2 linked regions of the Rattus norvegicus genome follow. The protein of the gene in region 2 interacts with the protein of the main gene of each other region in a pairwise test. Links are inferred from orthologs where the notes say so. Each region holds a gene or a part of one and is shown on either strand. Other genes may lie near its edges.

The links.
Region 1: the proteins of Nmt2 (region 2) and Acbd6 interact in binary tests that used the Homo sapiens proteins (3 or more experiments, as listed by UniProt). The link is inferred for Rattus norvegicus from reciprocal best matches to the Homo sapiens genes NMT2 and ACBD6.

Annotation. Positions count from the first base shown.
Region 1 is NC_086031.1:70,275,725-70,280,025, reverse strand, and holds the start of Acbd6 (acyl-CoA-binding domain-containing protein 6), read right to left. Parts: upstream 2,950-4,301; 5' UTR 2,451-2,949; coding exon 2,229-2,450; intron 1-2,228. UniProt on the Homo sapiens protein: Binds long-chain acyl-coenzyme A molecules with a strong preference for unsaturated C18:1-CoA, lower affinity for unsaturated C20:4-CoA, and very weak affinity for saturated C16:0-CoA. Does not bind fatty acids. Plays a role in protein N-myristoylation.
Region 2 is NC_086035.1:79,842,653-79,846,470, forward strand, and holds part of Nmt2 (glycylpeptide N-tetradecanoyltransferase 2), read right to left. Parts: intron 2,666-3,818; coding exon 2,521-2,665; intron 1-2,520.

The sequences.
Region 1 (4,301 bases), on a different chromosome or scaffold from region 2:
TCTGTATGTTGGTTTGGATGGAGGCCATAAAGCAATTTCAATCGCACATATAGTGTTAGAAATTATTTTTATAGCACTCCCAGGAACTGTGGATATTCTCTGATATTACACCCAAACTCAATAAATATTAGTTTCCCCAAGACCAGTTATGATGCAGAATCTGAATGCACTGTGGGTCTTTTACACAGTTGTAGTGAAAACCACCTGTCTGATTTTCATGTTGAATGGGACTTCTGCTCACACTGACTTTTAACATTATCTTATGAAATACAGAGATAACAGCTCAGCGTCAGTCGACATTTCCAAATGTTGACATACTGCATTAGACATTACTGAAACTTCCCATTCATTATCACCAACACGTATCTCATGAAAGTACTCTGTGAGCGTTGGGGAGCTGTCAAGCTCATGATGGTAGACTCCATGTTCCCCAAACCTCTACTTTTCCTTGGACAGCTCAAATATAGTCACTGGCAACAAACGTTTACAGCTGTCTTCCAGGTTCACTTCATCTTCAAGAAACTATCTGCCAAACACCCACATCTAAAAGGAGTCCATAAAGTTTTGGTTAAGTAAAAACGAAGTCCCAAGGAAAAAGAACATAGTTGACTTTGTAATTCAATTATATCTGATTGTCCTCAATTTCCTCAAAATAACCAATATAACCAGGTATGTAGCAGAAGTGCTTGTGTATTCTTTCCATTACACGACTTTTTGCTTGTTTTGAGACAGGCTTACCGTGTTGTTCCAACTAACCTGCAACCTGCTGTCTTGGAGAGAACCCACCTTTCCCTCCCCAAGGTGCTGGGAACAAGAGCATGCACCAGCACACCTGGCATCACACAAGATGCTGGCTACCCCTTGTACAGGGGCCTCTCAGGCCACATCACTATTAGCATGTGTTCATAATAACCATCAGTCCTCTAAAGAAGGCTCATCTCTACCCAGTATCTCAGGTTTAAGAATACAGCAAGATGCTCAGCGTGTAAACCGTGCTTGCTAGCAAGCCTGACAACCCAAGTTGAAACCCTGGGGTCAACTCACTGAAAGGAAAGAGCCAACTCCTGCAAGTTGTCCTCTGACCTACACTGTCACCCGAGTGCACACATGCACACACACGCACACACAGACACACAGACACACACACACACACCCAATACAAAATGTAATTAGAAATACTGGAGGGTCCTCACGACTACCTAAAAAAAAAAGACAAGAGTTCAGAAGAAATATATGTAACTCTATCAAGAAGCATTTTTTAATTTAATAAAATAAAAGAGGCTACTATCCATAACTTCATTTCTTTCAAAGTTCTAAAGAGCTGGGGGTTTCCTAATTTCCTAACCATTGATTTTTTTTTTCACATTTACATCTAGACTCCTTAACTAATCCTGTTAGCTTCTTAAAGGCGGTGTCATCATGTTCTTTCATCCTCGAATTCTCTGTAGACAGAACACCCAGTGTTCTGCTGAGCTGTTTCTGTTGACTAAGGGGAAGCAACAGTCTTTCCTTGTGGTACCTAACCTTGCAAGATAAATCAGTCTTCCGTTTATAACTCATACATTTCCTTACTTTCAGGTAAAGTTCAGTTTTAGAGTCAAAAACTGCACTTTAATTCCGGTATATCCATGTAACTTTCTAAGTGGCCTACTCCCCTGGGTCTTTTATTTGGAAATGAAAGCGATTCAGGATGCTGAGTCGAGAGTTCATCACCAGCCCTCCATGTTGCCTGCATGGAGCCCTTAATTTAAAAAAAAAAAAAAGTGTAGGGACTGTATCTAGCAGGATCAAATTCAGCTAAAAACACGGCAACTACATTTACAGTTTCTAAGAATCACAATAGTAATATTGTATTTCGCATTTTATATATAGTAATACTCCCTTAAATTCCAAATTTATTATTAGCATTACCATAGTTCCTACCACATGTCCAGTTGGCAACAGCGAATGACAAATTTTATTTTCTCATCCTCATTTTGTAAAGGTTCAGAGGCAAGGCCACTGAAACACTGTTATTCGGTGCCCGGCTATATAAATATCATTCGCAGGACAGCAGAGAGATTTTTTTTTCCACGTCCGGAATGATGCTATTCTCCAGGGTCAAAAATAAACAAATAAATAAATCGAAGCACATATACAAACTTCATCACGCTCGAACGTTAGCCACGCACATCTACTATTAAGTTTTTGGAGGAAAAGCCCGTGTCCTCTTATCCACCCATCTTTACCTGCTTGTACCTGGCATACAGGTACAGGAGCTGCTCCCTGCTGGCCACCTGAACCAGGCCTTGAACATGTGCGGCAGCCTTCTCAAACAGCTCCGCCAGGCTCCGGGTCGCCTCGGCCTCAGGGGTCTGGAAGGATTCCAAGTCACCGGAGTCGTCCCCGGAGCTCAGTTCCCCACCGCTGTCGCCCGTGGTGGCCCCCGCGGGTAGAAATGGTGTTGCCATGTCCACTAGCTCGCTGTGATCAGTCCTCTCCGGTGTGACGCGGGTTCCCGGGCCTGGACCACTAGTCCGGGTGAGAAGCTCGAGCAGGAGTGGGAAGCAGCTAGCTGTCTGGTGGTCTCAGGTGATTCTGCCACTCCGCCTACCCGGGCGCACAGGACCGCCCAGTCCTTCTCCCCTTTCCCCTCGGGCGGACCGAGCGCCTGGCTTCGCCCAGGTCGCTCCAACGGCGCGGGGTCTAGAGGCCGCTCGGCTGGGAGGTGAGGGGAAGCCGGCGGCGCGCGGCGAGCTACTGGGACCAGAGCTGGGAGGTGAAGCTGGGAACGAGCTCCGCGGGACGCGCGCCCGGGCACGTGCCCGTGGATACGGGACCTCGCCTGCTCCGCGAGCCCGCGCACTCCCGAGAAGGCAGTCGTGGATTAGGCGGGCGCAGTGCGGGTCGGCCTCAATGTTAGGGGAGGTCGCTCGTGATTTGGTGGAAATTTGGAGTCACAAACTCCGGAACTCACCCAGATAGGCCCCCCGGGGAAAGGGAAGGAGGCGGTCCATTAGGCAGTGTAGCTGCAGGAGTGGAGTCGCGGGAAACAGAGAGCGGAAGACAAAGGTTCCGCCTTTTCCTAACCACTCACTGTTTTGAATAGCGAATCAACAACTGCTGGAACCTTCCTTCACTGCCCCCACCGTGTGTCTAAATGGTCAAATGACTCCCATCAGTGTTTTGTTTTCCATACCTGCTGACCCCTCATTTCCCGTTTTAAGAGAAGGCTTCCCCAGGCCCCTCGAACCACCTTCCTTTAGCATCACCTCATCTCTGCTGCGGCTGTACTTCTTGAAGTGAAACCCAGAAATCCTGTAGCTCTGTCGCAAAGGGACAGGTCTTTCCACAGCCAGCACACTGTCAAAAAGAAAAACTATACGCATACACAAACTTCATTATATCCACCCATCGACCGCGTACATTTACTATCAGTTTTTAGAAAAAACACCTTTTAGTGTTCTCTCCTGCAGGGAGGGTCTTGAGAACCTCAACGTGGGATGTTGCTTGAAGAAACGGCTCTCAGTTGTTGAGGTGTCTCACATCAACGTGTGTGTGTGTGTGTGTGTGTGTGTGTGTGTGTGTGTGTGTGTGTGCGCGCGCGCGCGCACGCGCACGCGTGTTACTGCTAGTAGTGCTACTAGTAATGCTAGTAGTGATGGTGGTGGTGGTGGTGGTTATGGTGGTGGTGGTGGTGGTAGCTTCCACCGACCCAAAAGCTAAGAATGTCATCAACTATCTTCTTGGGCTTATAGAAAAGTTTTCCCCATCTCAACGTTACTGCTTCTATGTTACCTACCAATGTATTTTTAGCTTGCTTTAATTTATGACTTTCTTTGTTCTGTAAATCCATGAAACTGTTTCCACATTGAAATGATGGATTTGGGGTAACCTAAATTTGTGGTCACTCAAAGTGACTCCAGAATAAGCTGTTATTCATCTTTAAGATGAGTGCGGTGGTTTGAAATAGAGTGGCCCCAATAGGCTCATATAGTCAAATGCTTCATCAGCAGGAAGTGGTACTACTTGTGAAGGATTAGGAAGTGGGTCCTCGTTGGAAGAAATATATGATTGGGGATAGGCTTTGGGGTTTCAAAAGCCCAACCCAAGCCCAGTGGCTCACTCTTCCAGATCCCTGTAGATCTGAGAAGTAGACCCCTCAGCTGCCTCTCCAGGACAATGACTGCCAGCTTGCTGCCATGCTTCCACTATGATGAAAATGGACTAAACCTCTGAAACTGTAAGCCAGCCCCAATAAAATGCTTTCTTTACAAGAGTTGTGGTCGTGGTGTCTCTTCAGAGCAATGGAAACCCTAACT
Region 2 (3,818 bases):
CTTTTTTTCCTGAGCCTTGTCCTCTGGTCATCAAGGTATCAGTCCCTGGAAATTTCTCAAGCTCACAAGTCATTTCCTCTCAGCATCTTTCAACAACTAAAGCTTTTCCTGGAAAAGATATCTAAGCTGCTCTGCATGGCCACCTGATCTACCCTTCTGCCTTTGTCCATCTCCCATCAACATTTCTTGACCTGTGCCCCATGCTGTGTCTGCCATTCACCATCTGCTGAGTAAGCACCCTCAGGCCTAGTCCTCAGGGTCACAGAATCCTATGAGAAGTGCACGACTCGTATCAGTTCCTCAGGTATCCTCAGGAAAGTTCATGTGGCCCAACCCCCGGCAGGGTCCCCATGAAGTCTAAGGCTTGGCTCTTACTGTGCAACCCTCAGACAGATAGAACTAGTGATGACTCTACATGTGCTTGTCTGCAGGCCTCCCTTGCCCTAACAACAAGGTTCTATTACTAGATATTGCCTCTGGTTGAACTGAAGTGCACCAAGAGCTCCAGCATTCCAAGAACCTTGAAGAATTGGGGCAAGGGGAAAAGCAGGATGAGTCCCAGGCAATCCTTCCTGAAAGAAGGCCTGAGGGTTAGGCACCTTCTCCTCTGGAGGGCAGAAGGCATCTTGATGAACCGCATCCAGGTAAACGTAGTTCACCAAAACCATTAAATCTAGATCCTTCAGCTAATACTCATAATTCAGCATCTAATTAAAGACTCTGTAACTTATTCTAAAAAATATTCCTTCATTAGCAGACACATTTCTAGAAGTTGAAAGAAAAAAAGCGTACTGTCCCCTCTGGTGCAAGGGATGACTCTGGGGCTTCACCCGCTCTGAGCCACTGCTTTACACTGAACCCTATGCTCCCAGCCCTCCACTCTTCCTCCTCCCTCTCCTACATCGTCTTACTCTTTACACTGAACCCTATGCTCCCAGCCCTCCACTCTTCCTCCTCCCTCTCCTACATCGTCTTACTCTTTACACTGAAGCATATGCTCCCAGCCCTCCACTCTTCCTCCTCCCTCTCCTACATCGTCTTACTCTTTTCAAGCTGGGGGGCAGCTATGCGTGGGAAAGGATTGGGACGCATATAACTGATCCGTCAACGCTCAGAAAAACATGACTCCCTGACTTACAATGACAAAATGATTATCCGCATGCTACTAGGCGCTTCAGAGTTTTAGGTGGCAAGTGACCCTCTATGCTGTTTGGAATCTAAATAACCCAATCGTGAATAGGCACAGAACTGAGTCGAAGCAGGGCGTGTACCGTCATGCAACTGGAACACTTTCACGACAGCTGCATCACCTATGCACAGTGGGAATGAAACAGTTATGTCTGTAGGAAGTTAACTGGGAGAAGTCTTAAGTGGAATGTGTTGGAGTAGGTCCTAGGAAAAAGACCCTTTCACAGATCTTTACATGAGCAGAGTCCAAAAGAGCCTTCACTTTCAAAGGGGACTCTGACTCCCATATAATTGGGGTAACTCCCATATAATGTGACATAATTGATACGTCACTAGAGTGTGTTCAGAATCCTGATGAGTATGCAATTATCCACTTAGTGGACTATTATAGGAAAGTTCTTTTCTGAATTGTTTAGAATACCTGAGGCATGGAAAATGCTAAAAAATAATGTAGTGGGAGGTGGTGTGTGTGTGTGTGTGTGTGTGTGTGCGTGCGTGCGCGCGCGTGCACGAGCAAAGGCTCAGTGGTTAAAAACACTTACTGCTCTAGCAGAGGAACAAGTTTGGTTCTTAGCATCAACATGGTACTTTAAAACTTTAAAAAAAATGTATCTGCATGTATGTCTGCATGCCACAAGAGGGCATCAGATCCCATCACAGATGACTGTGAGCCACCATGTGGTTGCTGGGAATTAAACTCAGGACCTCTGGAAGAGAGTCAGTGCTTAACAGCTCAAGCCATCTCTCCAGCCCCCTCAAAAATTTTAACTATAGTTTCAGGGAATCCTCTGACTTCTTCAGGCTTCTGTGGACATCAAGCATACAATATATTCATGCAAGCAAAAAGTCATTTGCATTTAATGAAAATACAAAAATCTTAAAAATACAACATATAGGGGAAAAAAACCCAAAACCCCAACTTCATGAAGCTCAGAAGCAAAGAATAAGAATGAAGAGAAAAAAAACTCATTTCTCTTCTGTTTAGTATATATATGCTGTATATCATGTATAGCATATTCTTTACTATATAATGTGTTACATATTATACTACACACATACACAGGAATGTTTAATAGGAAATTGTAATATATATAAATATGTATATATAAATAAATATAAACATATAATACACATCTCAAGTATGGGAAAACTGGATAATGTATCAGAAACAGCAATTAGGCTACAATCAATGGTATTGAAAATCAATGTCCCTACCTACTATATATACGTATTTTAAGAAGACAGATACTAGCTTTTGTGTGAATTTTGCGTGTCTGACACAAGACTGAAGCTTCTTCACCCTGACTTGTAGAAACACACACATGAGCTTACTCAATTTGGGCACTGGCTGTGTGTCCCAGAACTGGTATCTGCGTTTTGTGGCCTCATCAATGTTCCTGGCTGGGCCTTGGCATGCAGAGAGCAGCTCCATTGCTCTCTGGATGTCCTGTAGCTTCTGAATAGGGATGGTGGGATTCTAGAAGAGCAGAAACAAAGAGACACATGACATGAGGAAGCTTCTACCCTTTGAACTCAGGGCAACTGTGTGCACTGGCCTCAAACACTGCCCCACCTCCTGGAGGCCTGCTAAAGGCTATCTGTGGGCATCCTGAGGTGTTGACAACCGCACTGCTGCAGTTACCAGTGGGCTGCAGCGTCAATGGGGCTCTGCCGGCTTGGGCATGCTAAGTACACAGAGGCACCCTCTCTTCAGGATCCCGCCCATCTGTGCTGCTCCCACTGCTCCTTTGGGAAAAGAAGGCAAAGAGTGACATGCAGGGCATGCATTACTGTCACACAGCAGCCAGGCAGCCAGGAGCCTCGGTTGTGCTGTTAGCGTTAATGCTCTGCGGCAGCAATGGAGGGCAGAGGAAACAAGTTCTAGAACAGAAACTAGACAGACAAGAGATGATTAGAAGGGAAGGAAGGGAAGAGAAAGAAGAGAACCTTGGGGCTATGCTGGGAAGGAAATGGTTAAGAAGAAATCACTAAGCCCTGCTGCTGCTCCCTCCTGGACCACACCCAGACTTTCTCCCACTGGAGGAGCCTGAGACAGAAGGCAGAAGAGAAGCTTCTCTGTGAATCCTCATCCTCAGCACCCACCGCTGGCTCTCCCAGCACACGTGTGGAAATCGAGCCTCATTCTTAGGGAAACAGGTTCTTACTGATAAAGTGGGCAATACTTTTAAATTGCAAAAAGTCCCTTCTCAAAGCCAGTATTTGTCTTTTTCCTTATAGATTCCCCACCTACTGAATTTCTTCAAATGTAATAAATAATACACAGAAACTGAAACTACATTCAAAATGAAACACTGCACATGAGCCTGGATGTAGAAATCAGTGGCTTTTCCCAATTAAATAAGCGAGTTTAAGGATTTTGATACTGCTCAAGTAGTTCCTTCCATTGTGACTTACTTGGAAGCAGTTGGAAGACATTTCAGCACTGTGAATGTGAAGCACAGCGACAGTGGACCCTCCATGGTTTATAAGCAGCTACTTTGGATTTCTGCCCTATTCTGAGTTTAAAGTCTGTGCTCTAGGTAAATTCATCATAACCTGAAAAGCTTCTCATCTGAAGTGCACGCTATCCTGCGGCTACCCTCATTTACTAGGTTTCTTTAGGTTCCTGA